Linked DNA regions of Arabidopsis thaliana. The protein of the gene in region 1 interacts with the protein of each later gene in a pairwise test. Each region holds a gene or a part of one and is shown in the gene's direction. Other genes may lie near its edges.

Evidence for each region.
Region 2: the proteins of AT2G42390 (region 1) and RABA1c interact in a protein complementation assay, tested with the Arabidopsis thaliana proteins (one large-scale study listed by BioGRID).
Region 3: the proteins of AT2G42390 (region 1) and RUS3 interact in a protein complementation assay, tested with the Arabidopsis thaliana proteins (one large-scale study listed by BioGRID).
Region 4: the proteins of AT2G42390 (region 1) and MAPR2 interact in a protein complementation assay, tested with the Arabidopsis thaliana proteins (one large-scale study listed by BioGRID).

What each region holds. Positions count from the first base shown.
Region 1 is NC_003071.7:17,648,384-17,655,781, reverse strand, and holds AT2G42390 (kinase C substrate, heavy chain-like protein), read left to right. Parts: upstream 1-3,138; 5' UTR 3,139-3,272; coding exon 3,273-3,366; intron 3,367-3,461; coding exon 3,462-3,575; intron 3,576-3,754; coding exon 3,755-3,850; intron 3,851-3,976; coding exon 3,977-4,171; intron 4,172-4,261; coding exon 4,262-4,401; 3' UTR 4,402-4,676; downstream 4,677-7,398. Other genes in the region: VOZ2 (vascular plant one zinc finger protein 2), read left to right, coding at 1-24, 212-740, 877-1,292; AT2G42395 (uncharacterized protein), read left to right, coding at 1,802-1,879, 1,980-2,216; BZIP34 (Basic-leucine zipper (bZIP) transcription factor family protein), read left to right, coding at 7,122-7,398.
Region 2 is NC_003076.8:18,555,595-18,563,481, forward strand, and holds RABA1c (RAB GTPase homolog A1C), read left to right. Parts: upstream 1-3,465; 5' UTR 3,466-3,723; coding exon 3,724-3,944; intron 3,945-4,615; coding exon 4,616-5,045; 3' UTR 5,046-5,351; downstream 5,352-7,887. Other genes in the region: AT5G45740 (Ubiquitin domain-containing protein), read right to left, coding at 1,381-1,451, 1,530-1,649, 1,733-1,855, 2,461-2,503; AT5G45760 (Transducin/WD40 repeat-like superfamily protein), read left to right, coding at 5,527-5,634, 5,737-5,833, 5,924-5,985, 6,075-6,137, 6,223-6,282, 6,385-6,441, 6,538-6,580, 6,651-6,728 and 2 more. UniProt on the Arabidopsis thaliana protein: Intracellular vesicle trafficking and protein transport.
Region 3 is NC_003070.9:4,718,102-4,726,991, forward strand, and holds RUS3 (root UVB sensitive protein (Protein of unknown function, DUF647)), read left to right. Parts: upstream 1-3,472; 5' UTR 3,473-3,615; coding exon 3,616-3,737; exon of another isoform or gene 3,738-3,846; coding exon 3,847-3,904; intron 3,905-3,984; coding exon 3,985-4,044; intron 4,045-4,120; coding exon 4,121-4,159; intron 4,160-4,249; coding exon 4,250-4,312; intron 4,313-4,412; coding exon 4,413-4,469; intron 4,470-4,581; coding exon 4,582-4,645; intron 4,646-4,740; coding exon 4,741-4,824; intron 4,825-4,916; coding exon 4,917-4,999; intron 5,000-5,089; coding exon 5,090-5,219; intron 5,220-5,294; coding exon 5,295-5,387; intron 5,388-5,509; coding exon 5,510-5,648; intron 5,649-5,719; coding exon 5,720-5,763; coding exon of another isoform or gene 5,764-5,864; coding exon 5,865-6,052; intron 6,053-6,145; coding exon 6,146-6,244; 3' UTR 6,245-6,414; downstream 6,415-8,890. Other genes in the region: AT1G13755 (Defensin-like (DEFL) family protein), read right to left, coding at 660-961, 1,080-1,137; AT1G13760 (uncharacterized protein), read right to left, coding at 2,264-2,322, 2,862-3,000; AT1G13780 (F-box/RNI-like/FBD-like domains-containing protein), read left to right, coding at 6,580-6,591, 6,672-7,607, 7,696-7,836, 7,932-8,213.
Region 4 is NC_003071.7:10,606,550-10,612,675, forward strand, and holds MAPR2 (membrane-associated progesterone binding protein 2), read left to right. Parts: upstream 1-2,867; 5' UTR 2,868-2,897; coding exon 2,898-3,200; 3' UTR 3,201-3,351; downstream 3,352-6,126. Other genes in the region: AT2G24945 (uncharacterized protein), read left to right, coding at 5,033-5,665.

The sequences.
Region 1 (7,398 bases):
GGAAATTTCTCCTGCGGCTTTGAGGTGAGCTAGATACAGTTTCTGCGTCAAAATTGTCTTCTATAATCTTTTGATTGTTGGTTAGATGTTCCTAGACATTTGAACACCGTTGATTCTTTATTCCAGTTCAGCTATGAGTTTTGATCTTTTTCATTCTTGTCTTAGTTTTGATTTTGTTTCCTTATGTACAAGTTCACCTTTTCTATCTCAGGATGCTCTTAATAGCACAGAAACACATGGCCAGCAACTCCATTATGGATATGAAGGGTTTGATCCAAGCATAAACTCCGCTCCTGATTTCCATGACCAAAAACTCAGCAGCAACTTGGATATAACTTCTCAGTATGATTATATTTTCTCCGAAGTGCGTCAGGAACTAGATAACAGCCCTTCCACTAAGCTTGATTCTTCTGAAGAGATTGACAACTTTGCTGAATTTTCTACTCCATCAAGTGTCCGTGTGCCTCCATCTGCTTTTCTGGGACCTAAGTGTGCACTATGGGATTGCACAAGGCCTGCTCAGGGCTCCGAGTGGTACCTGGATTACTGCAGTAACTACCATGGGACTCTAGCTCTGAATGAAGATTCGCCTGGCACAGCACCTGTATTGAGGCCAGGGGGCATCAGTTTGAAAGATAATCTATTGATTGATGCTCTTCGTGCAAAGACTCAGGGTAAGAATGTTGGGATCCCAGTGTGTGAAGGAGCTGTTAACACAAAATGCCCATGGAACGCAGCAGGTGAGAGCATTGTCCCACTAGAGCCCAGTTTTGCTTCTCTCTTTGTTTTAGTTCAACATTTCGTTGCCTCTTTGAAAACAGAAGCCTTATGTGAGTTTCTTACTTTTGCCTGACCCTTAATTTTTTGTACTTGCAGAGCTATTTCATCTTGAACTGGTTGAAGGCGAAACAATTAGAGAGTGGCTCTTCTTTGACAAACCTAGAAGAGCATATGATAGCGGAAACCGAAAGCAAAGATCACTTCCAGATTACAGTGGAAGAGGTTGGCATGAATCAAGAAAACAACTGATGAAGGAACAAGAAGGCCAGAAGAGATCTTACTATATGGATCCACAACCTCCAGGTCCCTTTGAGTGGCATCTCTTTGAATACCAAATCAATGAATCTGACGCATGTGCGTTATATCGCCTAGAACTTAAAGTAGGAAATGGAAAGAAGAGTCCTAAGGGAAAGATTTCAAAAGACCCTCTGGCTGATCTGCAGAAGAAGATGGGACAGTTTAAAGTGGCTTCAGACAAACCCTCTCCTCCAACCAAAGGTCGTAAGGAGTGAAGTTAGCTATTGGTAATCTAACTCAAGACTCCTGCAACAATAGCTCCAAGTTGTCTCCAGCATTCTACAAAAGAGCCATCGCCACCTCTGTTTTCTTTTTTTTTTTCTTTCTGACTGTATTATGAAGAGATAGGATCTTTGATGTGTTGTGTTAATATGGACAAGTCTGGTCTTTGCCCTTTTTCTTGATAGAATCGTAGATGGGTTTGTAAATTTTTGCATTTTATTTTTCTCCTTTAAAACCACAAGGATTTTGTTAACGAAGTGGTGTATTCATATTTCAAAGGTACATTTGCAACACCATTGATTCTTTATTCCAATTCTTATCTACGTGTGTGTGTGAATGAAACTTGAAACCAATACAAGTCACTAATGCTCTCAGATTATGTAATTGGGCTTTACTGGGCCGTTTATAAAATTGGGCTAGAAAAAGGGAGACAGCAGACGACAAGAGCATCCTTGTTCTCTTTAAACCCTAAATTACAAGCAAATCACCAACAGAGAGAGTAATGGCGAAAAATTCTGGTAGCTCGTTTGAAGCAGAGAAATCAGAGGGAAAGTGTGTTACGACGACTACTGAAGCACAAGTAATTCAAAATTCTGGCTGATGAATTATGTATTTGATTTTACGTATTTGTAATTCACTAATTCTCACTGATTCATACAATTTGTGTCGTAAATGAACAGCAAAGTAGTCAACCTGTTTTGAGCAAGGAAGAGGAGAAAGTGAGAGATAGCTACTTGTTCTGCTGTGAAAATTTCTACACTCTTCCTGAGATGATCAATTTCATGAAGGAGATTCATGGTGTAGAACAAACCACTGTGACAAAGGTTTTCAGGGAACTTTTAAAAGGTAGAAAAGCTGAAGCATATCTCAGAGAATCTCAGAAAAGAATGAAGGCAAGAACAACAACAACAACTTGAACAGAGGAGGATGAGGCTTAGGTTGCTCTAATTTGAAATTCTTTGGTTTGGTTTACTGGTTAGTAAGAAATAGACTTGTATTGTCACATTTTTTTATCATATTTTGAGGTCCATTGCTTTGGGTGTATGGACCAGACTAGGACAAATGAATAGGAGATGCAAAAGGGTAATAATGGAGAAGTCAGTCTTGTTGGTCTATTCTTGTCCGAGTCCATGATTTTTAGAGGGAGAACTAGAAGGAGGAACTAAAAGTTGTTTAGGTTAATGGTTTAGGTGCTAAGTGTTGGCTCTGTGTGTTACTTATGACTCGTGGGATCTAATGTCTTGTGAAAAATCACTTGTGAGATAAAATGGACATAGTCTAGAGAAGAAGGTATATAAGAAGAAAAGCAGTCAACTTAACTACAAAATCACAACGGCTCACAACTGTTTTATGTTGTAGAAGTTGGTTGCTTCTTAGAGTGGTTCATTCTTCATTACCAGCTAACCGCAAATAACCGTGACTTGAAGTCTTTCGAATTACACTTCTTTCACTCGTGGTTCAAACTTCTTCTGTTCAAGTTGTTATGCCTTCTCCAGCCATTACTTGATTTCAAAATGGTGTTGATGGTCTCATTCTTGAAGGCTTGGATGTTTCTCAACTTTTTGCTCTTGAACAAGAGCCAAGAGGTGATGGGACTCCGTAGTACAAACACAATTTAAGAACGTTTGAGTAAGAGTTTTGATTCACATTGAAAAAAAAACTTAGAAGAAAAAATGAACCAAACTAAAATAATCAAATTAATTTAGTTTATTAATCAAGAATTAAATCAAGTTTTAATAATAACCTGAATTGTAGATTTTTTTTCTTTTCTTAATAGTCGAATACTGAACACTGTAGTATTAAATGAAAACTCAAAGCCCAATATAATTCAAAGCCCATCGAATCAAATATCTGGCCACTCCACTTATTCTTAACTTGAAACTTAAAAGCCGAAATCGTAAAGAGAGAATCTGGTCGGAATAATCCACTCGAATCTTAAAACGACGTCGGTTTAACCAAATGCGAGTCAACGGATGCTGCTGCAATGCGTCGTGTTGTGTTCGTCACTCGCCGTCGTCGTCATCTCCGTCGCTTCGACCTCTCCCCTCGTTGGTGTTCACCCTTTAGGTTACTTCTTCGATGACTCTTATCTTTATTATATCGACAAATCTGAAAAATGTTCTTGTTCTCTGATTCTTACTTACTTCTTTGTTGTGAGGCAGATGAAAAGTATTTCGACTCAGATGTTATCAAATGCAAAGATGGCTCCAAATCTTTCACAAGAGATCGTCTCAACGACAACTTCTGCGATTGTCTCGACGGCACCGATGAGCCTGGTACACACTTTTTTCTCAATTTAGAATCCAGAGAGCTGAGATGACATGAGACTTTAAATTCTTTCCAGATAAAAAGATTTAGGACTAGAATTGATCGAATCTTATTCTCTTTCACAATTTCAATTATGAAAAATGTGTTCTTGTGAGTAAGTTTCTGAATTTCTGATTTTGCATTACAGGAACTTCGGCATGTCCAAATGGCAAATTTTACTGTAGGAACATTGGAAGTTCTCCAAAGTTCGTTTACTCTTCTCGTGTGAATGATCGAATCTGTGGTCAGTAGTTACTAATGTTCTGAATTCGACTAAATGATTCTCGTTTCAGCTGTCTCTTGCTGTATGCTAGTAATCTACATGTTTTTGTTGGATTGGATAAGCAGCATGACATTGTCTGTTTCTCAGATTGCTGCGATGGAAGCGACGAGTACGAAAGTAGCATTCATTGTCCCAACACTTGTATAATGGGTGGTAACGTTAACTACATCTACAAACCTAGAGCCAACCTTAAATCTATACACTTGCAACTCGGTTCAACGCCTCATCCAAAGGAGTTTTATACTATAGGAAATCTTCAGGACATGGTCAAGAATCTACAAGGTTTTGCAACTTTTCTTGGGAAGCTTATTTGTTTTGTTTGATTGTCTAGCAAACTGATACAAAAACAATTGTTGTTGTTGTTGTTTCCAGGTATGAAGCTTGTTTTCGCTCTTCAGATGGTTTTTATCGGTTTCTTAGTGATCTTATGGATGCTTAGGAGTCGTGCTCGGTCTAAGAGACGACGCTATCTGCTGAAGAATGTACCTCCCATTAATAGATCAGCTAACTAACTCCCTGGAACTTGTATTATACTTTTGTGAAGCTTTTACGTGGAACCTGAGTGTTAAAGCCACATATGTCAAGTGTCATTACTAGCTATACTTATTCAGTGTGAGATTGTTTGTTCCTAGTTACATAATTGTCTTGGTCTTCATGTTTATTAAGCCTTCAGATCCTCAGACCATAGTAGGTACCGATGAGTCTTATCACAAGTAAGATAGTCACATGATCTGCAGATTTTCTAGAAAATGGATGGATTCACAATTTGAATGATCTCATGGTGAATTATTCGACTGATATAAGGTTTTATGAAAATGAACTCTTGTTTGTTTCTCACAGACAAAATCAATATACAAAAAACATTACAAGCCATTGAAGAGAAGAGAGAAATTTACAGTTAAAAAATCCTGAAAAAATGATTTGTAAACTCAAGATTGGAAACATCCACAAGTTGCCTTTGGAACAATTCTAATGGCCCAGTATTTTAGCAGCCGTTTCTTCTTGCTTCTCCACGCTTACCTTCAATCATTGCACTTCTTTCTTCTGCTTCCTTGTGAGTCACTGAAACCTAATTCATCCTCTCTGCATACTCCTGCTTTCTTCTTCTCTAGTTCCTCCTGCAGTGAAACAAATTCACAAACACTTCACTTCTCATTGTTCTCAATCACATTGAAACAGTATCAGCTCTCTATTGCTAAGTTTATTTTACCTCCATTTTCTTGAGTTGCACTTCGACAGCTGCTTTCTTCACTTCTCAACGGAAAACTAGTCACATAGTTTAGTTTAAGGTCACCTCTAACGAGTGAAGCAGACCAAGATTTCGCCAGTGCAGATTCTGTAAGAATTTTCATTCTACTAAAACATAAACAGCAATATGCCAAGCCTTAACACAAAGAGTGTCACAGGTAAACACATACAGAGCAAATGCATGATTCTGTCATAAAGCTTCAAATTTAGCTGTAATATATTACCTCCATGGATGTGTATTGAATCGTAAATAGGCCGCTTCTCTCTCGAAACAAGAACTAGCAATGGTAGCCTGATGTCAACGTATGTTGTATGAATCAAGTCCCCAGTGCAACTTGAAGGTAAAAGAACTTCTTCACACTGTTAGGTCGAAAGGTGAAACTTAAAGCTTATGTACTAGACAAGGCGATGGAACTTCTTCACACTGTTAAGGACAGACTTAGAGGTAAAAGAAAAACTTGAGTAGCTCATGGAGTTTAGCTAGAGGTTGGTCGCTAAGATATTTGTAAACTGAAGATGCTAATGGTTATATTAGGGATGATGATCTTGAAGGAATTATTTGGAAATGACATAACAGATGATGTGTGATTTCCTCCTTTAAAACAAAATCGTTTGGTTTTGATAATCATGAAAATATTTCTATGAGATTACTGTCCGACACACATTTAGAGAAATAATTCACTGACTATATATTCCGTAAATACATGTACATATAACTTTCTCAAGTTTGATTTATAATTTTAACATTTCAACAAAACAAAAAAATATAGATTCCGTTAAATATTCCTATCGATCCGGAAAAGTAAAAAATTGGACAGACAAAATATCCAAAATTATACGATTTAAGAGAGAAAAAAAAAGTAGCAAGTGTCCTACATGTGGGTGTGGTCTGGGACAAAGCAAATATAGAGGGGAAAAAAAGAGTACAGAAAACAAATCACATGGACTCACACATCAACATTATACTCTTCACTCTCTCTCCACTCGTCCACTACCCTACTTTCTCCATGCATTGTTTAGCCCTCCTCATAGCAGTGATGGTAACAAGATAATCCATTACCATGGTGAAAGATATGTGATAAATAAGCTAAGTCGTCGGATTTGTTTTCCAATAAATTAAGTCATGTTTATCAACTCGACTTAATTCTATTATTCTATATATAGATGATACTGTGTGCTATTAACTCATGTATTCATTGTACTTGCTTGACGTAGGTTTACATGTACCAAAATTATTAATTGACACATATGATTTGCAACAAATACGAGATATTGCATTTACATGAACCTATCGAAAAACCATTCATAAGAAAGAAACGTATTAACCATTCAACAAAAGAAAGGTCACAAGAACACGTGCTTGCTTGATTCCTCCTCCAAATCTCTTTACATAGATTAAAAAGAAAAAAACCAGTGGAGGAGAATTTCCAGTTATACCGTTGAGACCTTTAGCCTCACTTCTCAAGACAGCTGTTTCATAGCTGTCCGATCTCAATATCTCCCTCCATGTGGCCCTACTCAGAGAGATAAATTAAACACTTTGATCACATCGAATTTATTATGTTCTTTCATAAGATTTTACATAATATATATCTCATGTATATATATATATATCTCTATTTATCTCCTTCATTAATTCTGTTTTTTTACTTCCTTCTATTTATATAACTATCATTTGTTAAACATAGCCATTTTGGTTACTCTTGTTCCGTTTTCTTCTTTCTTCCTCTCCTTCCTTTTTTCTTTTCTCTATCTTCTTCATATGGTTCATGACATTGATCTAATTCCACTTCCCATTTGTCTCCACATTTCGTTTCTTTCCTTTGTTTTTTCATCTAGGTTTTTGGTTTTCTGAATTGGATTTACGTTAGTTTATCTTGTACTTATTAATTAAGGTTTTTTTTTTTTCCTTCCTCAATCCTGTAAATTCAGATTTGCTTTCTTTGGTAATCTTTTGGATCAAGATCCATCTATTTTTTCTTCAATGGCACAACTCCCTCCTAAAATCCCCAACATGACACAACATTGGCCTGATTTCTCTTCCCAAAAGCTCTCTCCTTTCTCTACCCCAACCGCAACCGCTGTCGCCACCGCTACAACCACCGTACAAAACCCCTCATGGGTCGACGAATTCCTCGACTTCTCAGCGTCTCGCCGTGGCAACCACCGTCGTTCCATCAGCGACTCTATCGCATTCCTCGAAGCTCCAACAGTCAGCATCGAAGACCACCAATTCGACAGGTTCGATGACGAACAGTTCA
Region 2 (7,887 bases), on another chromosome or scaffold:
GGATATAAAAATAATCAGATTATACATGAAAATATATAAAAATTGATATTTAGAGTCAAAAATGAATCTAACAATAAAAATGTAAGTACATAAGATGAGTCTAATTTTACTAAGTATAAAATAACAAACAAAAAATAAACATAAATTAGCGACAAAAATAATTAACATATTTTTATCTAAAGAATTTTCAAAACAAACCCACGCGTAGCGTGGGAATTCATCTAGTCATAAGTGAAAATAGAACATTTTGAGAAAAATAGCTTAGCTTACAGGATTTAACTTTTCAATTATTTTCATTTATTAATTTTAACTCAGTTAATATTAATTTGCATGATGTAAAATTAACTTACGAGATTACGCTATATATAGAAAATATATTTTCAACAATGTTTGGTTTCTAAATATTTTTGTGGATTTCTTTTTTCTATTAATTATTAGCCCTGGGCGTTTGGGTATTCGGGTCGGGTATTTCGGGTTAGGGTTTTCGGGTTTAGAAGTTTAGGACCCGTTCGGGTAGTTTAAGATTTCGGGTCGGGTTCGGGTTCGGATTCGAGTTTATTTATATATTGAAATATCAAATTTTGTGTGCAAATCTATTAAATTACTTCAAAATTTCAAAAATTCTCAAAACAACACCAGTAGTTTTGCTTGAATATATCTAAAAAGACACAAAAATAACTAAAATATCCAAAAAATCCTAATATTTTCTATATATAAGTGTAAATATAACTAATATATACTTATATTTGAAATATGTTTGGATACCTATTCGGGTTCGGGTTCGAGTTTTTCGGGTTTTGAAGTTTAGACCCGTTCAAGTATTTGAAAATTTTCGGTACACCCGCCTAAATAGGCGGGCCTTATCTAGTATCAACATAAACTTTAACTAAATAAGGAAGTTTGAGCTAAGTGTAACATTAGATAATTCAAATTAATGTTTGTGGTAGAAGAAAAAGACAATGTTAAAAAAAAAAAGGTATCTGCTACCTAGACTCGAACCCAAGCACGGATTGAAAGAGTGTGGGGACACAACCACTAACGCTAGCTTCAAATATATCAGTTGTATTCCAAGATAAACTTTATAAACCTTGTGTAGGGCACGTGCCCTACCTACCCACAACGTAGATCCGCCCCTGGTTGTCAAAAAGACTTCATAAGATCATTTTGACCACAAAAGTTCACAACTCTTGGCTCTGTACATTTGTACCTCAACCACCATCTCTCACTTTAGATTCCAGTAACTATACAGAGAGTGTCTCCTACTAATATACCGTGTTTCTATTCACTATCAATTGCAAAAAGTATTGAATATGAGAGACTTACTTCAACTTCTAGTCCTCTTCTACTACTTACTAAGTATTGTGTCAATGTTCTTGGAAGTTACTGTCCTTCCTCTCGAATCAGATTCGTGGGCTCACTTAGAACGTACCTAGGAAGCTCATATCTAGCACCTGCATTGAATAAGAGCAAGTCATTAAGGTAACAAAACAAGAAACGAGAGAAACGAATCAGAATTGTGTATTACAAACCTCTTTCATCCCAGCACAATGTTAGGTCACGGTTCTGAACAATCACGCCTGCACTGTCAACAATAGTTTGTGCTAGTTTCAAGTCAGCTTCAGCAGCAGCTCGAAGTGCTTCCCATATCTCTGGTTTTCAGTAAATTTCGCTCAGTTTCCAAATGTACATAGTGCGATGCAGCAGATTACAAGAAAGAGAGATATATATATACCTCTTTGACCACCATAGTGTGGAGAGGTGTCCCAAAATTCCTCACGCATGTTCGTAAGTTGTGCCCTTGTGATTGGCTCAGTATGTGCCCACGGTTTAGGTTTCATGATTTTCTTCCTTTTTGCTGTGTCAAACGTACAAAACTCATAAGAGAATGATACAATATAAACTACCACCAATTTTAAAACAGTTCTTTCAGTAACACCAATATTATAGCCATCTACTTCAGAAGATCATCACAGTTTCAATTTCATCAAGACAACAAATACAGTATAAGGCAGAACGAATCAGATTATATTGTCTATTGTTCACAGAACAATTTTTCTTGGTAAAAATGGAATGTTATAACATTAGTAAACGGCCATTTCATTTCAATCATACCATCGATAACAACTTTCTCTGATCCAACATTCTAATTCTGAGCAGTAGAAACAATGTTGAAGAGCATTCTAATTCTCTGCTGAACTAATTCTGAGCTTCAAAATTTGGAATCTTTAACGAATCACAAACATGTCAACACCACAATAAACTGATATTTCCTTCGAAATCACTCCAAGAATCATAACATTTGCAAGATTAGTTCATGTTAACACCTCAAAACTAGAACTATCACCAAGAATCAAAACATTACAACACAAGTATAAATCGTAGCCCAAATTCTGAGAACAAATTCAGCGAGACAAACGGAGTGCGGAATTAAAGGTTTAAGAGAGTATCGATTCCACTAACCTCCGCCTTCATTTCTGGCCTGAGAAGATCCGATACAACCCATTCTCGAACCGTTGAGAGTCGCGTTTGATTAGGTGAAAATTGGAAGTCGCTTCGAACAAGTAAAGTAAATGCCAGTACAAACTCGACCGTCGGGAACGAAACGGAGAAAGATAGCCGCCGATAAGAGTTTCACGGCGGGAGAATCGCCGGAGAAGTCTGCAAGAGTCGTCTTCAAGGTCAAATTCTGTTTTGACTGCCAAATTAGGCCATGAATGTTTTGTTGATTTTGGTGGGTTTTTGGATTTTGGATTGTGGCTTTTGGTTTTTTGTTTTTGATTTTATGAGTTTTTGATTTTGGTGGAGATTTTAGATTTTGCAAAATCTTAAATGGTAACTTTTCTAGTTTTTGATTTTTATATAATTATTATTTAGAAACGTTTTAAAATTATTTATTTAAAACTTTATTTTTATTTTTAAAAACAAAAAAAAAAGAGTTTACGATAGAATTTGTTGAAAATCCCAAAAAAGTGAATTTTGGATTTTAAGAACAAATGACTAGAATCTTTTAAATTTTGAATTCCCTATAATTTAGGAAATTAACTTTTTACAAAATCATGAATGGATGAAAAAGTGGATTTTGTAAAATCAAAAGCCAAAATCAACTTTAAAAACTAGTACCATTCAAGGCCTTAGTTTGTTAGAGAGAAGAAAGTGAAAACAGATCTCCCCGATTTTATTTATAGTCACTTTACTTGCCACGTCATATTATTCTGGATTAGTATATTATATCTGTTTGAATTAATCGTCAGCGTCTGTAGTCCAACGGTTAGGATAATTGCCTTCCAAGCAATAGACCCGGGTTCGACTCCCGGCAGACGCATTCTTTTTTATCATTTTAATCAGTTTAGAAAAACATAAAAGATAAAGACAAATGTGAATTGACGAATACGTCCTCGTCTTTATCGAAGCGAGCAAGGTAATAGATCAGAACGCGTTAACAGGGCAGTTTAGTAAATTTGGCCACACAAATGTTAGATTTCTTTGTGATAAAGACAGTACACAAGTCCTTTGTCTTTCTCGTTTGATATTTTCCAATTCCGCGTCTTTCTCTGTTGAAATCGAAAAAATTTTCAAAACAAAATCTAAGGAAAAAAGAGCAACAAGTTTCAAATCTCATTTGGGTTTTTCATTTTGAAAAGAAGGACCCATTTTTATCTCTCTCTTTGTTTTGTTTTCTCGAATCTGAAGGAGTAAAGTTAAAAGCTTTGAAGGAGAGAATCAATGGCGGGTTACAGAGCAGATGATGAATACGATTACCTATTCAAGGTTGTTCTGATAGGTGATTCAGGTGTGGGCAAATCCAATTTGCTTTCACGATTCACGAAGAACGAGTTTAGTCTCGAGTCAAAATCCACGATCGGGGTCGAGTTCGCGACTCGGAGTTTGAATGTTGATGATAAAGTCATCAAAGCTCAGATTTGGGATACTGCTGGTCAAGAAAGGTCTCATCTTTTTCAACCACATTGTTCATTTCTCGATCTGGTTTCTTATATTAGAACATTTTGATTGAAGTTTTGGGGTTTATGGTTTTGTTTGGTTGCCAAAGACAGTAAATTTTCAGCTTAGGTTAGATCTGTATCAATTGATTTAGATCCATTGGTATTGATCACTTTTATAAGAAGAGATCTGGATTAGTATGTGATTTTGACAACTTGGGTTTTGTGTAAGATAGGAGAATCCTATGATTATGATTATAAAGTTATCAGCTTTATCAAATTTCTTCTGTTGTTTTTGCTATTTTAGGTTTATGTGAGAGAGCTTGATTGGTTTCAGTAACTTCATTTCTACGATTCTTAGCTCTTCTTTCTCAGATTTCACCTAAGATTCTTCAATCATTATCGATTTCTTCTGTTGTTTTTGCTTAGTTTATTTATGTAAGAGAGCTTGATTGGTTTTAGTTGGATTCTTAAACTTTCATTTGAAGCTTTTACTTGGTCTTAATTTCAAAATTGAAAAGCTTCTTGCTTTGTATGATTTGCTATTCTCCATTTCTCTGATCAGTTTTGTAAAGCGTGCATAGTCTGAATTCGAAACTGTAAAGCTTCTTGCCTTTTTTGTGTTCCTGATGTTTCGGTTAACTTAATTCTCTGTTTCGTTGACTTTGTTTCAATAGGTACCGAGCCATCACTAGTGCGTATTACCGAGGAGCTGTTGGAGCGCTTCTTGTCTACGATGTAACCCGACACTCAACATTTGAAAACGTTGAGACTTGGCTGAAAGAACTCAGAAACCACACTGATCCAAACATTGTAGTCATGCTCGTGGGCAACAAATCTGACCTTCGCCATCTCGTGGCTGTTCAGACTGAAGATGCTAAGTCATTCGCCGAGAAAGAATCTCTCTACTTCATGGAAACCTCGGCTCTCGAAGCCACCAATGTTGAGAACGCTTTCGCCGAAGTCCTCACTCAGATTCACCACATTGTGAGCAAGAAGGCGATGGAAGCTGCGAGCGAATCCGCTAATGTTCCATCGAAAGGAGACAAGATCGATATCGGTAAAGATGTTTCAGCTGTGAAGAAAGGTGGATGCTGCTCGAACTAATCAGAGAGTAGAATTATTGTTAACAACCTAAGGATCGGTTTTTGTTAACGGTTCTATCGAATATGAAGATTGCTTTTAGGTTGAGTAATGCCCATTTGGTGTATTTCTGTTATTTATCTGATCTATCAATGTTATTGTTTGAAAATGCTATGTCAAATTTTCAGAACCCTAAATTATATTTATCTCAAACAATAGAATTGTTGAAAAGAAAAGATAAAAATAGTTTCTGCCTTTGATGATTTCAGTTTGGTTGAACATAATTTTCGGTTTGATTTCGTTTCACCGTATCGGTTCATTTTGGTTAAGTGGTACTAAAATCGATTTCTGTTAGGTTGGAATTTTGTTGTTTCGATTTTTTTGGTACAAAACCGAAGGATTACCAAAATATCCGGTTTAGTTTTGGTTTGTTTCGGTTAGCCTTTTTTAGCTCAATTTAGAGCTTGAAACTGAGCAATCGCCGGAGAAACTCTCACTCACAGTTATGGCTACGGCAATGGAAGAGCCAAGGAAGCTGAGAGGCCACAAATCAACTGCCACTTGTTGTATAGCTTCTCGTGACCGGCCTGGAATTGTTCTCACTTCCGGCGAGGTTTCTTAATCTCTAATTCAAACCTCTTTTTTCCGATGAATTTAGGTTTCGTTATTGTAGTTACTTCGCAAGATTCATAGTTTTCCGATCATACGATTATAGGATGGTTGCATTTGCTGGTTTGATTTGCGATGTAAAGATGTTCAATTCATCATCGATGTTGGAACAGAACCAGTTTCATCTCTTTGTTTCAAGACAGGTTTTGTCTCTTTGTGTTTTGTCTGTTTCTCTCTCTTTCAATTTCTTCTCTTTGTTGCAATTTGGTGATAACTTTTATTTGATTTTTCAGGTAATGAGAACATTCTCTATGCTTCTTGTGGAAACGAAATCAAGTCTTTCGATGTTCATACGGTAATTTAAAATGTTCAAACTTTGATTAACTAACTATAACCATATCCTTCACTTAGTTTTAAAGCTTCTCTCTTTATGCAATTTCATAGCTAAGTGCTACTTCTTGGAAGCCATTAGAGAGTTACAATTACAACAAAGATGAAGTTAACCAGGTAGAGATACTAAAAACTCGACTTTTCGAAAAAGTTATCATATTTACCTATGACATTGATGTTGACATCTTTTGATTTGTTAAAGGTAGTATGTAACGGAAGGTCGTCTTTTCTTGCTTCTGCAGATGATTCCGGCGATGTTAAGGTACACTCAATAGTTGTTCTTAATACTTAAAACTCTTAAAGATTACATAAACATGAATTTTGGTGGGACGGTTCTCGGTTTGATTAGTTTGCTTGTACACAGATCATCGACCTTGGTCAGAAATGCCTTTATAAAACCCTTAGAGCTGGTCACACAAGTGTATCCTTACTTCGTTTTTTTTACCCATTCTCGTCTATGAAACTCTACTAGCCTCGAAAAAATGTCTCAAATCAACACCTTAATGAGACATATAAGATATGTAGTTCTGTACAATTCATTCCATGGAGACCTTGGGAAGGTAACTAATATCTTATTGTGATTTGTTATTATATATACACATCTCTTCTAAAGTGTCTAATTTCTTTCAGTTATAACTGGTGGACTTGATTCAAAGCTTGTTTTATGGGATTTCTCAAAAGGTCGCTCGCAAAAGATTATAGACTTTGGTAAAGACTATGCCACTAATTCTGGTTTCTTTAGCCATATATATATGCAACAAATCTGATTTTGCAAGTCATTTCTGTAATCTTTCAGGATCTGATACAAATAATAACTCGGGACAATGCCTAAACCCTGCGTTTGTTCACTCAATAGCAATACCGGAAATGGACATGGTTGATAAGTTAGACAAGATATGTGCGGTTGCTAGAGGTGATGGAATTGTCAATTTGATCAATATCGAATCAGAACTTTCCCGAAAAGGAACATCATCAAAAGGAAGTAGCAGCAGCAGCAGCAACAATGTGGTCAAAAGGGTTTGTTTAGACTACTCTGTTGGTGGACACAATTCTGCTGTTTCTTGTGTAGCCTTTTCTCTGTTTCAGGAGAAAGGTAGATTCTTAATCTCTGGTGGTAATGATAAAACAGTCAAAATCTGGGATTGCTTTAAATGTCTTGATCCAAACAACAACAACAATAACAGTGATCTCCTCCATTTGAATATTAACCTAAGCAAGAAGGTAACTAAAAGCTCACATTGTTCTTTTTGCTCTTTTCTCTTTTGTCTGATTCTGAACATTTGTTGGTGTTTCTTAAACAGGTGAATTGGCTTTGCACGAATCAATCTGATTCTGAGAATCTTGTAGTGTGTGACACAACAAGAGTAGTTAAGGTTTACTCAATCTCTTAAATAGGCCTGATGGGTCCATAAAAATAGTCTAAAAGCTTCATCCTTTTTGACATTGTTATTAGTCTAAGAGATTCATTTTTATTTTTGACATTAGAATGGTTGCTTGATCTACAAGTTAGTTTATTTTTTTGTTTGATAACCAAATTATAAAGAATGATTACATTTAATTATTGAATTGTTAAATTCTTTTACTATCATCAACTTCATTACGTACTATTTGTTTGTTCTATACTTTTGTGTATTTAACTTCTCCCTTTCAGATTTTTCTTCTTGTCCCATTTACACAATTAAGATTTTGTTACGAAGTTGAAATCCAATTTATTTTTCAATAAATTATGTTATAATCATAACAAAAAATAACCTACCATTCTAACAATCTCAACTCAGAGCAACAAGTAATTTCTATTTGGATACTACGGAGACTTAGAAAATTAAGAGACTGGGGAAAAATAACAAATCAAACACTTCCCTCTTTA
Region 3 (8,890 bases), on another chromosome or scaffold:
ACTGAAACAATTCGAGCGGGCACAAGAAAGATGCAAAAAGACTAGCAATTGGATTAAAAGAAACAGAGTGAGGACATTATAACTAACTTGGTTTTGCTTTGAATCTTTCGGAGAAACTCAAAGATTGAAACTTTGAAGAAGATTAGATTAATAAGAAGAGTCTTTAATAATTAGAATATCCAGTCTTGAGATTCCCCCTCAATGATATAAAAAAGTCAAGACTTTGCTCGTCAACGGCCAATTTACATTGCACTGGAGTAGAAGAATTCACATCAAGTTTTGATTAGCGGAATTTTAAATTGCTTAAATTTAGTGAACTCGAGATTTTTTAATGTCTGAATGAGAAAAAGATTACTCAAGAATTTAACATAAACAAGATTAATACATTGGATCCATATGACATTCATGTAAAAATCCTTCTTCTAAGGCGTGCTATACATGATCTCTAATCCAAAGTGTCAATGCTTTTGGGATATCATATGGGCCATCCAATGAGAGAAGAATAATAAGTCCTTTGTTGTTGTTAGGCCGTTTTGCATGAAATCCGAGTAAAGAGAGATAAATCAAGTCACTAAAAGTATAACGCCTGCGGTTATTGAAATATATTTATTTATTTTAAGCATTCATCATATATGCATGCATATACAAAGGAGTTTTCTTTAAGATGCCAATTTGCAATAGCCTTGCTTTGAACATTTCATGTTGCAATCAGTATCTACTTGGCAACGAACATCATTATTCATCACTTTAACCAAATTACAAACACAGTCGCATTGGTTGCTGCAATAACCTCCCTCTGGGCAATGCGCTTTACAATCACTATCATTCTTACAACATGGAGGTGGTGGTCCACGATAACCACCACTACCACCACCTGGACAACCGGTGCATCTTGGTTCATTCGGCATACATGAGTTTTGGTTGACAGAAGTTTCACTGTTTTGAATGCTAATTCCATTTTCTGCATATATTAATAAGAGATAAGAAACAAAAAAAAACATATTAATCAATGAAAAACTATGTAAATAAAAAATACTAAAAGCACAAAATGAAACTTTAAATATTTTTTGTTTACTTACGGGTTACGGCAAAAAGTAGAGAAACCAATAACAACAATTTTAAGGAAGCGATCTTCATTTTCAAAGTCGATGTTTTTTTCCTTCACTGGAGAAGTTTTTGGTTGTTTGGTAAATCTTGCAATGGTGAAGTTGAAGGTATTCTTCATCGATTTTTTTATTTTTATAGTCCAGTTTAGGCGATGGTTAGATACTATTTTTTTTAATATTTACACGTGGAAATTGAAGTATAATTGTTATTGGATTCTTTTGACTAACAACAAAGTTCTCATAAACATGGAAATCTAATTAAAGTTTTAATTAATACTAGATATGTTTACCAAATAAGAGTTGCAAAATTGGAAATAAAGGATTTTTTTCGATTTAAATGTCTATCTATATATTTCTTATCAGATTTAGTGGACTATGCTTTATATTAGATGATGATTGACCCACGCAAATTTTCTAAAATCATTAGTCCAAATGCTTATGTCTAAATAAGTATTGGATCAAAGAAAAATCAAAGATGATTTTATGCTTAAAAAAAAAACATAATTTAGTGACCAAAATACTATTGAATAGGAACAAAATCGAGATCTATCATTACATGTTGCTACAGGCACGGTGCCCTCTTTATAACTTTAAAACATTTTGAAAACAACAAAAGATTACACAGATTCAGAAACGAAATTAATTTGATCCATTATTTAAAACCTCTAAAACCTTGATCCATTTTAAGTAATAGACATCGACCCACTTAACCACTGAACCGTCTTATTGAGTAATTTAACCGGAAAATTTTACTGAACCAGAACCTTCCAATTGAAGAAGAGGCTTTAGTGAATCATCTTCGTCATCGATCATCAGATTCTTCAGATTCGCAAGTAAAAACTAAGAATCGACCAATCGTTTATTACACGAATACTTACTTATAAAGACAATATTAAATAAACCAGATATTTTTATTCCAATTAACCGTCCAAAATAAAAATAGATAGCCGTTTTATTTTAATTTCTCCCTATCCTACAAAGTGAAAGTCGCCAGTATCTCTTTGTACTCCCTCGCTATCTCGAAAGAGTCGTGGATGACTGCGTCGCTGCTTCTCCTGTACTCGAACTGAATGGTAGAGTGATCGACGACAATTAAGGTGACGAACCCAAAGTCCTTGTCGCCGAGCAGGCTCCAGCTGGACTGCATGCAAGAGAAATCATCTAGACTGGCTCCTCCACCTCCCGCAACAACATGAATAGTCCCGTTTAATGGCTCCTGCAAGGATGGTTGGATGGCGTGATCCCGAATACATACATACAGTTTTTCTCAAATAGTTGTGGCCAAAATCCAAATATGTACCATGTGTTTTCTCTGTTATGAACCTAGGTGATATTTGAGCACTAGCTACGATAATATTAGAACTAATTTGATAAGAAAATGGAATGTTTTTTTCTTAAATTTTTCTTAAGTTTTGCTTAAGTTTTGCTCAAGTTTTTCTTAAGTTAGAAAGAACTTTTGGGTTCGTCATTTCTTTTCTGAGAGGGAATTAAAAAGTCAAATTTGTTCTTGCTTTTTAGCTGCTGTTCAAATTCAGAATCTTGTCTTCTTCTCTCTCAATTTGTTCCATAGATCTAATCAGTTGAAATAATGAATCTGAATACTATATATATATATATATATATTCTAATATAATACAATGATGTTTGCATATACTTTTAAAAGACCCTGACAAGAAGAGAAACTAGTAACACATCAAACTTTAAAGAATTTGTAAAGAAATTTAAGACTCATTGCAGAGAAGAGAAGCACAAAACCTCGTAGTAAACCTTGATGAGGAAAAGACCTTGATAGGCGTAGAACACAGTAGAGGTGGATCGACATATTTAACTCTTGTAAGACAAATCGAAGCACTGTAGAAACAAAGAAAAAGGTGCAATGTAAAGCTTTTATCATATAAAATAACACAAAGCTTTACATCAAATCCGAGAACTGTTGGAGAAGCTTTGACATAAGCTTCTTCATTCACATCAAACAGTGTCCTATGAATTGCAACTCCTGACAAAGGTTGCTTTCGATGAGATTTTCCCTCTTGAATTGACACAAGAGTCACCAAAACATCAACAAGTTTCCCATTTCTCACAAGAAGATCATGAAAACAAATGTCTGAAGATGAAGATGAATGTGATACAACTGTGTTCTAGAGATAACTTGTAGGAAACAACATTTATAAAGTTGGTGACTGATGATCAAAACCTAGAAACATAGGCACAAAGCATATAAAGATATGGTGATCATTAGCATTAACATTCCTTTCACACACTTCCGTGACTTGTTGGTTTAAGTGTTTCTAAATCTAGAAATCCAATTGGGAGCCAAAAGAAGACTATGATGTGGACATGTGACCTGCGTTTGCCAAAAACGTACCTTTTACTAACCCAAAGTCCAATCACATTTGGGTCATTGGACTATTCAATTGCAATTGAAACCCAACACAAAGTCCAAAACACTCATAAAGTCTAAACATTTGAATAAGTGATTCTTTTCACTCGTAAGAAGCCAAAATTCGCCATGAGAGAAGAACAAGTCTCTGATTGCGGATCGATTACTCTTGAAGAATGGAATGGTTCTTCTTCCACTAAGCTATTCAAAACAGCAACCATCACTGCCTCCTCTTCTCTCTCTATCCAAAGGTTCTTCTTTATTCCTCTTTGAAATCAATCCAAATCTGATAGTTTCAGTGGATTCACAACAAAATTGAGAAACTTTCTTGGGTTTTCGTCTCCTGTGAGTGATTCATAGGTCTGCTAATCGCTTTAATCATGTGTGGAGACGAGTTCTTCAAGCATTTGTACCAGAGGCAAGTGTTTTCTCTCTTTTTCCCTTTAGAATCTGTCCTCCGGATTAGGGTTTGGCTGAATTGTACTTTGTCTAGTGCAGGGCTTTCCTGGCAGTGTAACTCCAGATTATGTAGGGTTTCAGTTATGGGACACATTACAGGTATGTGAGAATATGCTTGTATGCCTTATAGCTACTGTGAAATTTGAATTGTGACTCTCGGCTATGTTTGTTGCAGGGCCTCTCAACTTATACAAAGATGATGCTTTCCACTCAGGTGAGCTAAAGCTAAAGTTTTTGAGCTTCTGAGTTCTCTATTTTGGTCCAATTTGTCTGCTGCAGCATTTCTGATTTGGACTATTTTCAGGCTCTTTTGAGTGCAATTGGCGTTGGTGAGAAATCCGCAACTGTTATAGGTGCTACATTTCAGGTGAGTTTTTCCATTGCTTACATATAACATTTCACACTAGTTCTCTCAAGAACTATAAAGCGCAATGGAGAATAGTGATTCTATCTTGTGTATTATGCAGTGGTTTCTGAGGGATTTTACTGGGATGCTTGGAGGTATATTGTTCACATTTTATCAGGTGCCTATGTAGCAGATTCTTCCCAATCATAATACACATCGATTCTCTTCCCTTTTCTTTAAGATTTAGATTGGTTACGTTCTTATTTAATGGGAACTGTTCTGTTCTTCAGGGTTCCAACCTGGATAGCAATGCAAAAATGTGGCGCCTAGTTGCTGACCTTATGAATGATATTGGTATGTAAAAGTTAGTTGTCACATCACACTTGATACTAATTGCCTGTATTTGGTTCTCAGTTGAATGACTACAAGCTTTGTTGCTTTTATTGCAGGAATGCTAATGGACCTTCTTTCTCCTTTGTTTCCATCTGCCTTTATCGTTGTGGTTTGCTTAGGGAGCCTATCAAGATCATTTAGTGCGTATCATTTCTTGCATCAAACATTGAAGTTAAGACTTCGGTTTGGATTGATACATCGGTTTTTAACTTTTTTCAATCTTGGCTATTAGCTGGTGTTGCAAGTGGAGCAACCAGAGCAGCTCTAACACAGCACTTTGCTCTTCAAGACAATGCAGCGGATATATCTGCTAAGGTACTCTTTACTTCTTGTCACTGTGAATGATATAGAAACTATAAATGTGAACTTTGAGTAATTCTTTGCTTCTATTTTATCTATTGAAAGGAAGGAAGCCAAGAGACTATGGCAACTATGATGGGTATGTCATTGGGAATGTTGCTAGCTCGGTTTACCTCTGGAAACCCTATGGCTATTTGGCTTTCGTTTCTCTCTCTCACCGTGTTTCATATGTATGGTAAGTCACAAATGAAGGTTAAAGCATAGATCAAATCAGAATTTCTCTCACTGTTTGCCTTTCTTATATATTTAGCAAACTATAGAGCTGTCCGGTGTCTTGTATTGAATTCATTAAACTTTGAGAGGAGTTCAATTCTTCTAACACATTTCATTCAAACTGGCCAAGGTAATTTCGAAATGCGCCATTGATTCTTTCAAGTTTTCAGTGGCTTTCCTTTGTTTTTTATTGGTTTCTCTTTATTATTGCACCATATACCAATAACTTTCTTTAACTAAACGTGTTGCCAGTTCTCTCTCCCGAACAGGTTTCTTCAATGGAGGGTGTATTGCCCTTGTGGGCCACTTCATTGAGGTCAACGAATTCAAAGCCATTGCATAAGAGAGTGCAGTTAGGTGTGAGAGTTTCCTCTCTCCCTCGTCTAGATATGTAAGCTCTATACTAGATTATCATAATTTTCGGGTAAAGAATCGGCTCAAGCTTGACATATTTGTGTGCAGGTTGCAGCTGCTAAATGGTGTTGGAGCTTCTTCATACAAGAATGGTTTGATTGATTTATTTTTCCACAATCTTTCAAGGACATTAGTTTCTCTGTCCATACTTGACGTAAGCTCGGTTCTTGTCTGTTGTTGTACACTCCTGCAGCTAAGTATTTATTGGCTCACATAAAGGGAAATGTTAGTGTGATCTTGCACAAAGATTCAAAACCTGCAGATGTGTTGAAATCATATATTCATGCCATTGTTTTGGCAAACCTTATGGAAAAGAGCACATCTTTTTATTCAGAAGGAGAAGCTTGGATTGATAAACACTATGACGAATTGCTCCACAAGGTAAGATTAAATCACTAGGACCAGTTAAACCGTGTTTTTATGACACTAAAGCTACTGTTTTCACTCTTTTTCTTTCTGTTGTTTCCCATGTAGCTGAGATCAGGAGGTTGGAAAACAGAGCGTCTTCTTTCGCCTTCCATTACTTGGAGAGCTAATTGGATATCTCACACTTCCGCTGCTAAGTTCGACTGAGCTTTATCGCCTTTCAAGATCAAAATAGTTTGTTAACTCGTTGCAAACATACAAAAATATGTTAGTTCTAAGTCATGTAAAACATGTAACCGATACCGGTTTAACCGTAAAATGTCGGTTTAACATTGTATAACGTTTGTTATTAATGGAAAATTAAAGAATTATAATAATGGCAACCGTTTTATTTTTTTGGAAACGCAAAAATTGGAATCGGAACCGCTTCGAACGTATAAATACTTCAATTTTGTGATTCTCTTTCATTATCACTTCATGTTCATCGTTTAGCTCGTAGCTGAAGCTAATTCCACAACTCCGGCCAATAATTCCGCCGGCGAATGGAATCCACGGTGAGTATTTCGTTTATAGTCAGACACTTGTACCCTAGTTTTTGGAATTCGATTAATTTATTGTTTGTTAATGCTATTAGGTCATGCCTGGGTTTGATAGAATTAGCGAATTGCCGGAATCTTTGATTAGTCAAATACTGTTACACCTTCCGACTAAAGCTTCTGTGAAGACGAGTGTTTTATCGACTAGATGGAAGAATCTATGGCTTAATGTTCCCGGACTTGATTTGAACTGCCGTGATTTCCCCTTTCAGAACAACAACGAAAAACTGTTGATTGATTTCATTGACAGATTTCTCCAGTTTAACAATGAGTCACGTCTTCAAAAATTCAAGGTAGATTACAGTAGAGATAAGATCATTAAGTTCTCGGATCGGATTGGTGACGCGATTAGCCGCGGGATTCGAGTTTTAGATGTTGAGAGCAATACCTATTATCGAGATGCTGATGATTGCATTGACTATCCTTGTATCGAGTTCATGCCTCTGAATCTTTATTCGTGTAAGACATTGGTTTCTTTGAAGCTTTCGTATTCGGGTCTTGAGGATCCAGGGTTTGTCTATTTGCCTTGTCTCAAATTCATGCATCTTCGAGAAGTTCGATGGGATAGTAGTGGTACTATGAATCTGGAGAAGCTTGTTTCAGGTTGTCCTGTTCTTGAAGAACTGATTTATCTTCATGATGATAAATTGGTGGTTACGCGTGTGAGATCTCGAAGCTTGAAGAGGTTTTCTATTCCGTTTAGGCATAAACTTTCTTTGTTTAGGAGAGTGACACAGACATTTGAGATTGATGCTCCTGGACTAGAGTATATGAGTCTTAAAGCAGACCATTTCGATAGAATCGTGGTAAAGAACCTTACTTCTTTATTCATGATTGACCTTGATATCAAATTCATTGTCGGGTTTGGCTGGATGTTTGATCCGGAGGACTTACCAAAGAGAAATGAAATCCGTGATTTTCTCACCGGGATATCTAGTGTAAGACATATGGTCATCTCTCATAATACAGTGAAGGTATATATTTTTGTACAACAAATTTTGGTCTTTTTCTACTTGGGAAACTCTCACTAGCATCCATTTTTTCCTTTCCTTCTTGTTGCAGGCCCTTGATCTTTACTCAAAAGTAGGACTGATTCCCAAATTCAATAACTTATCCCGTGTAGAGGCTGCGTTCCCGAGCTCCTTGTTACAGTTTTTGCCAGCCTTTCTTGAGAGCTTCCCGAATCTGAAACACTTAATCTTGGTAAAAAAACTTAAATGATTTTGGCGTAACAACATTGTGGCTCTTGTGGATGTTTATAATTGAATACCTAGCTTTACTTTTGTTGGTGTTTTCAGGAAACTGAATGTCCAGTGGAGGTGATGGAGAAGTTTGAACTCGTAAATGTGCCTCGGTGTTTCGTATCGACTCTTGAACATGTTGAGATAAAAGGATTGTTTGACTGGGGGGAACAGGATATGAAAATAGCGAGTTACTTTCTCGAAAACTCAGCAGTCCTCAAGAAACTGATTCTGAGTTTCATGGGTTGTCCTCAACATTATTCGGAATCAGATATCTACGAGGAACTTAATAAACTCACAAAACGTTCTCCGAGATGTCAAATTATCATTAGATGCTGAATGAGGCCATGAGTATCATGTGTAGAAAGTCTGTTTTCTCATGAAACACTGATTTTTTAAAGATCATTTTGTTCTTCTTCTTAGTTTTGGTTGGATTCCTTGACCATAAAACTCGGTCATAGAACGAAAACATTGTTGTTTTTTTAATTTTTTCTTAATCTCAATCTCAGTTTCTTATGATCTATTGGATTCTCTGAAGAAAGTGATATTATTACACTGGACACTGGTAGTAGGAACATTGGACTAAAGGATCTACTCTCATCTGAAACTCTTTGCGCTTCCTCCTAGTATATTGAAAATTTCGGTTAACTCGGTAATGAAAAATCCAAACCAATCAAAGCTACTGTATAAACAAAATTTCAATTGAATTCCGGTTAAATTAATAATTTTGATTGGTTTAATTCGGTTTAAAATGAATTGAAGACGCCAATCGATCGTCGTCATCTTCACTCTTTCTTTCCAGTCACGGTTTACGCGTCTCTCTATCTCCCACCTGCGATTCTTCTCCATTATCTTTGCTAATTCAGAAGGTTTCGCTTCAGCTTCCTCATCTACATTCTTCGCTTGTTTCTTATTTACAGACATTTTACGACATTTTTCTGATACTGTTTCGGTGAAATTCTCTAATTTCGTTTAGTTTTGCTTTACAATGTTCTTCATTTTGTGTCTCTCTTCGT
Region 4 (6,126 bases), 7.0 Mb from region 1:
GTTGGACACCACATCCACGAGCGACTGCTGGTCTCCCTGACCATCCTGCTCACGAGAACGAACATCCTCGTCCTCATCAGATTCGACAGCTACTTCCTTCTTCTTCTTCTTCTCCTTCTTCTTCTTTTCTGCATCTTTCTCAAGAGAATCAACATGCTCACCGTGAGAGACCTTCTGTTTCTTAGCGGGAGATTCAGACACCTCCGCTTCTTTATCTTTTAAGAGTTTCTTCTTCTTCTCACTCGTCTTCACATCCCAATAACCTTTAACAAGCTTAACCTCGTGTAAGTCTTGGATCAAGTTATCAAGTGCTGGGTCTTCTAATTGGTCTGGCCAAAAATGAAACAGCTCGCTTAACTCAGCCTTTTCAACCATTGTACGAACACGCAGCTACAACAGGAGAGATAATAAAACCCATCAGTATGTTTAACTCAGCCATCACTTAATATAACTCAGTCGTCACTTAATATAACTCAGCCATTATAGAACATAATTCAGTCGTCACATAACATATTTGCCAAAAAAAAAGAATATAACTCAGCCTTCACAGAGAAAAATAAAACATTAACTCAGCCGTAACATAAATATTTGATAAAAAACAGAACATAACAGAGCCGAAACCGTACCTCACCACCATTCGCTTTGATATCTTCAGCAATGACCGATTCTATAGTTGAACGGGTACGGCTGCCACCCCATCTAAGCAACGGAATCTCATCCGCGTTAACAGCGTTCCCAAAACGCTCAGCGATGGTGATGATTGACTCATACGCCCAAGCCTGCAACACGAAAACCAGACCACTGACAGTGTACGTCTTGCCAATAGGCCTCAGCAACTTTATAGAAACGACAAGGGCTTCATATGCTGCCCGACCCCATGGATAAGTCTTCATGGCTTCGTCGTCGAAAACTCTTTTGGCACTCTCAAATGGTATCCTAGAGTTAGTATGCAAGCCAAAAAGTCCAATGGATAGAAGAGTCAATAACCCAAACCATCTACGTTTTTCAGTAGGCCAAGCTCTGCACGTTACTAAGCCCTGCCTAAGTTCATCTAGATTAGGACCTTCACCGGTTGGCACACGCAATTCACTGAAGAACGCTTTGTAGTCAGCTTCAGGCTCAAACTTTTCTGTAGGCAGATCATCTATATTTAAACCAGTGATATGATGAAATTCGTTCAATCCAAACCGGATGGGTTTACCAGCCACGATACACCAAAGCTCCTTCTTCAGTATTCTCAGCTGTCTGCATAGTAGATAATGTACGGTCTTACCAGACCAGAGAAAATGACTATCAACAAGCTTAGCAATTAATCCAAGCTCTGTCTCTTTCAGTTCTGCCCATATTTCTTCTCCTATTGATTCTCTAATTGCAGGGAACTCTCCCAGCTTTATATTATGATTAATGCCTTTACCCTCCAGATTAGAATCCCCCTCTTGGTAAAGTCTTGGAGGGTACTCCCTTGCTTGGTCTTCAGACATCTGTATAACCATAAATCAGCCGTAAGCATTCCATAACTCAGTCATAACATAAAACAAACTCATCCACAGATACCATAACTCAGGCAAAACATAAATCTAACTCAGCCATAGATAACATAACTCAGTCATAACATAAACCTATCTCAGCCATAGATAACATAACTCAGTCATAACATAAACCTATCTCAGCCACACATAACATAACTCAGCCATAAGATAAATCTAACTCAGCCATATTTTAACAGAAACTCAGTCAAACCATAACATAACAACAGCTCAGTTAAAACATAAACCAGACTCAGCTATATCAAAACAGAAACTCAGCCATAACATAAACAAACTCAGCCGTCATATAACAGAAACTCAGACATCGATGTAAGGTTAAACCATAACTCAGTCACAGCATAAAAAAAACTCAGACACGGATGAATTGATAAATCATAAATCAGTCGGCAAACAAACAGTAACTCAGCCGTCAAATCAAATAGATCTAAGAAATCGGCCACCATATGTCAATCAACGTCGACGTTAAAACCCAGCTTTAAAAACCATCGTTACGCATCGGAAAACGATTTCAGTGACGGGAATCACTTGAGATTGAACTTAGATGTCAGAGTCTTACTTCATTGAAAGATACTCACCGGAACTTAGATGTCGAATGTGACTTCGCGCTTACGTAAATGCGACTCCGGCGTCTGAATTTCGGCCGGAACAGACGAGAAAAGAGCAAAACGGCGAAAGAAATCGATTTCGTTCCGTCGAGAGAGAAAGTGGAAGAAAGCGACAGTTTTTTTTTTTTTTGGGAGATGATGAACAGTAAAGCTAAGAAATAAGAAACCCAAACGTTATGGAGTTTGGAGATAATTAATGACGTGGATTATGGTAATGACATGGAATAATGACATGTATAATCACTGTTTTTTCATTTAATTTTTAGTTAAAAACGAATTAAATAATAATAATTAATTAAAACTAATTAGGGGTGTTAATTGTAATTACACAATAACTGAAAACATCTGAGTAATAAAAAAAAGATGTGTTCTACTGTAGGAATAAACATACAAATGTGTTCTATCTTAGGAATTAGTTCAAATTAAATTGTCTTTTCCCAAAGCCGTCCTTTAAACCCGACGAAGTTGTTTAAGCAGCTTAAATTAAGCTCCTTGAAAGATTAAGCATTTCTGGAATTTTTATCGACTTTAATTAGAGAAAAATAAAATATTTTTTGATATTCCTTGTAAAAATCTGAAGAATAAAGTTTACTCCACTTATTACCGACACAAAAAAAGTTGTTCCACTTATTAAAAAAAAGTTATTCAGTTATAATTTTTTTAAAAAAATCCTCTGTTATATATCTCTCACTATCTTTTATTTGGTTCTTTCCAGAAACAATTGATCAGAGCTTTAAAGAAAAAGATGGAATTCACCGCAGAGCAGCTAAGCCAATACAACGGCACCGACGAATCAAAGCCGATCTACGTCGCAATCAAAGGCCGTGTGTTCGATGTCACCACCGGAAAATCCTTCTACGGCTCCGGAGGCGATTACTCGATGTTCGCCGGAAAAGACGCGAGCAGAGCTTTGGGTAAGATGAGTAAGAACGAAGAAGATGTGTCTCCTTCTCTTGAAGGTCTCACTGAGAAAGAGATCAATACTCTTAATGATTGGGAGACCAAATTTGAAGCTAAGTATCCTGTCGTTGGCCGTGTTGTCTCTTAGGTCTCTCTTCTGAGATTGCACTATGTTATGTAACTATTGTGTGTGAGGATCTTTGTGTTGTGTGTTTTCTGATTTCGTGTTTGGATCTGATCGTTTTGATACAATTACCATAAGTACCAAATTATCTATGAAATAAATCGGGGATTTCGTGTTCTCAGTGGTCTTCATATTCTGATCTTAAGGTTACTTTGTTGTGCTTACCAAAAAAAAAAGGTTACTTTGTTGTGATGATTAGGATTTTAGGAGTTTTAAGTCTCATATGTATTTGATGAGAGGATATAAAGATTGGTTTGTGTCTTTCATATCTTGCAAATACTTGGAGCTAATTGTGTCTGGTGAAAGAAAAACTGATGGTTTCTGAAATCTGAGCAACACCAAACTTACTGGTAGTTTTGGATTCGGTGTAAATTATCTTACAAGTTCCAAGTTGTTGTTAATTTTAGTCTTTTGCGTTATGAGATTTGGAAGAATATAGTTATGATGAACATTCAGAATTCATAGAAGCTAATGTGTGTCTTCTTTGATTCTTTCTTACTTCTCCCGGTCTAAATTATTATCATCACTTGTATGACTTCGGCCCTGTTCGGCATGGCGTTCTTGCGACTAATATGTTGCTTTAACGCCAAGTCTTAGGTTTGAGGGAGAGCTGTTCATGGGTAGAGTTGTTCTTGGCTCGAGTTGACTTGTGTCGTGTGTAGTGGCTGTGGCCTATAGCTATGCTTGTTTATCAAGAGAGAGGCATCCTAACTTAGATATTATTTTGACATTTTAAATAAAAAAATGCACAAACCACCACCTCCAAGAACTAGCTACCTTGCTGGATTTGAACCAAACCTAGAACATAAATGAGGAGACGTGGAGGGGTAGGAGATTCGGCACCATGTTGATCCTCAGGTAGGTATTTATCCTTTCCCACAATTTGTAAAACGTTGTTGGAGAACCCGGGGTGATTACAAGACACTACAACTTTGTTCTCTATGTCGACTAAGAAACTCAACCCAAAACATAACCCTAAATGATAGCGGTCATCAAATTTCGACACTGTCAGGAACTTGCTCTATGAAATGGCTTCGTACTCTCCATCTTATTCGCTATCCATACCTCAGAGCTCTGAGCAGCAAATATACAAAGTTGTTGCGCTTCTCTAGTCATTGACAAAGTCGCAAAACAATAAGAACGAGGCGATCTTAAATATTAACCAAAGAGAGTTCGCCCTAGGTCTTCTCTCCCGGGCACGATCTCCGAGGAAGCCGCCCCTCCATGCTCCAAGACAAGATGGACCTCCGCCGCCGCTGCTCCGCCGCTCAATTATCCTCTTCCTTCTGAAGCCGCTCTGCTCTTCCTTCTCGGGTCAGATCCTCGTCGTTCGTCGGAACCCGTTGTCGCCTGCGAGTAGTCTTTGGCTAGTAATTCAGCTCTGATGGTTGCTTCGTTCTCAACTCTCCCGTCGTCGAGCTCCTCCGTTTGGACTGTGAACACCGCTCACCTCCGGATGCTGTTCTTTCGGGTATCGCTGGATCCTCCCAAGCCTCCGGTGCCTCCAGATCCGGTACCTCCAGAGCCTCCTCCTCGTTGTTGTAGCGATTTTCCATCGTCTCCCTCATGGTATTCCTTGTTTGTTGGATCCTCCATCTCCTTTCCCTCGTCATTGAGGCTTATTATAAATTATATGCAAGTGTTTTCTATGATAAACCTTCTAGATCCGTGTGTCTTCCGGTGACACTTCTATCGCCATAGTGCGACCTATTACTGCAGTATGCAGCCTTTTTCCTGAAGCTATTAGGTTTTCCTATGGCTCCTATGCCTCCTTTAGTTCCTTCTTTCATGTCTATATGATTTGTAGGTTCTCTAAAGTTGAGATGGGTAAATGTTCAGCTAACTCATGGAGTTGGAATTGTGATTCTCGCTTGTTCACAATTGCTTTTGGTCTTCACAAGGATACTAATTGTATGCTTTGTTTGTGGTTGTGCTTTGTTTGCCATTGTTACTCCTTTATGGAGATCTATGTTCTATCAAGTTCCCCTGTTGTTGGGAAATCTTTATTTGCAGGGAATGAAAGCTTCTTTGGTGTTTGTGGATTTGCTGTTGCATCTTGTTTGGACATGCTATCTTCTAAAACCCTTGAAGTTCCCTTGCGAGACATTTCTGTCGCTTATCGTTCTAGCACCTACACGTTGGTAGCAGAAGATATTGTAGCGAAGACTGCCTTATCATTGAATAACGCCCTCTTGTTGGCGTGGAATGAAGACTCTTTGGTTTTGCAATTGTTCATGGACTCCCAGTTCAGTGTAAAATCTTTCAAGTTACTCGAAGTCACCGTTGAGCTAGGGAGAATTCTGCTTGTTTTAAGCTTCCTTCACCTCCGGTTTATCCCCTTGTTTTTTGCATTATTCTCTTATAATGCGTTTGTATTTGCAGTTCTTTCTGTTTTTAGTGATGTGTTTTACTCTTGTAATGGAGACTAAATCATTTCTATATCTATGAAATCAGTTTGACTAAAAAAACAATAAGAACGAGGAACATCCTCGGGAAGAGACACACTCTGGAATCTCTCTGTTGAAAAATCAAAACATAGTAAGATAACACCTATTTGTCGACTAGAAGCAAGCCAGTAAGTATTTCCCTTCACAGATGTGCCAAGACGCTGAAACCGGGGTATGAATTTTCAAAGTGACTCACAAGAAAATAAATCAAATCTTCTTGGGTTAATTAAGCTCAACCTCTTATGTTTATTGAGATAACAAGAATTGCAATAACAGAATGAATGAGAGAATTGAACATCTCTCTATCTTTTGAAGTATTTGCAATATTTTACAAGTGTCGTGAAGAGTCAAGGCAAAGAGGAGGAAGTATTTGCAATATTTTATAGAATATTAGACAATATTTAATAAAAATTTGGTAGAATTTACACAATATTTTATACTTT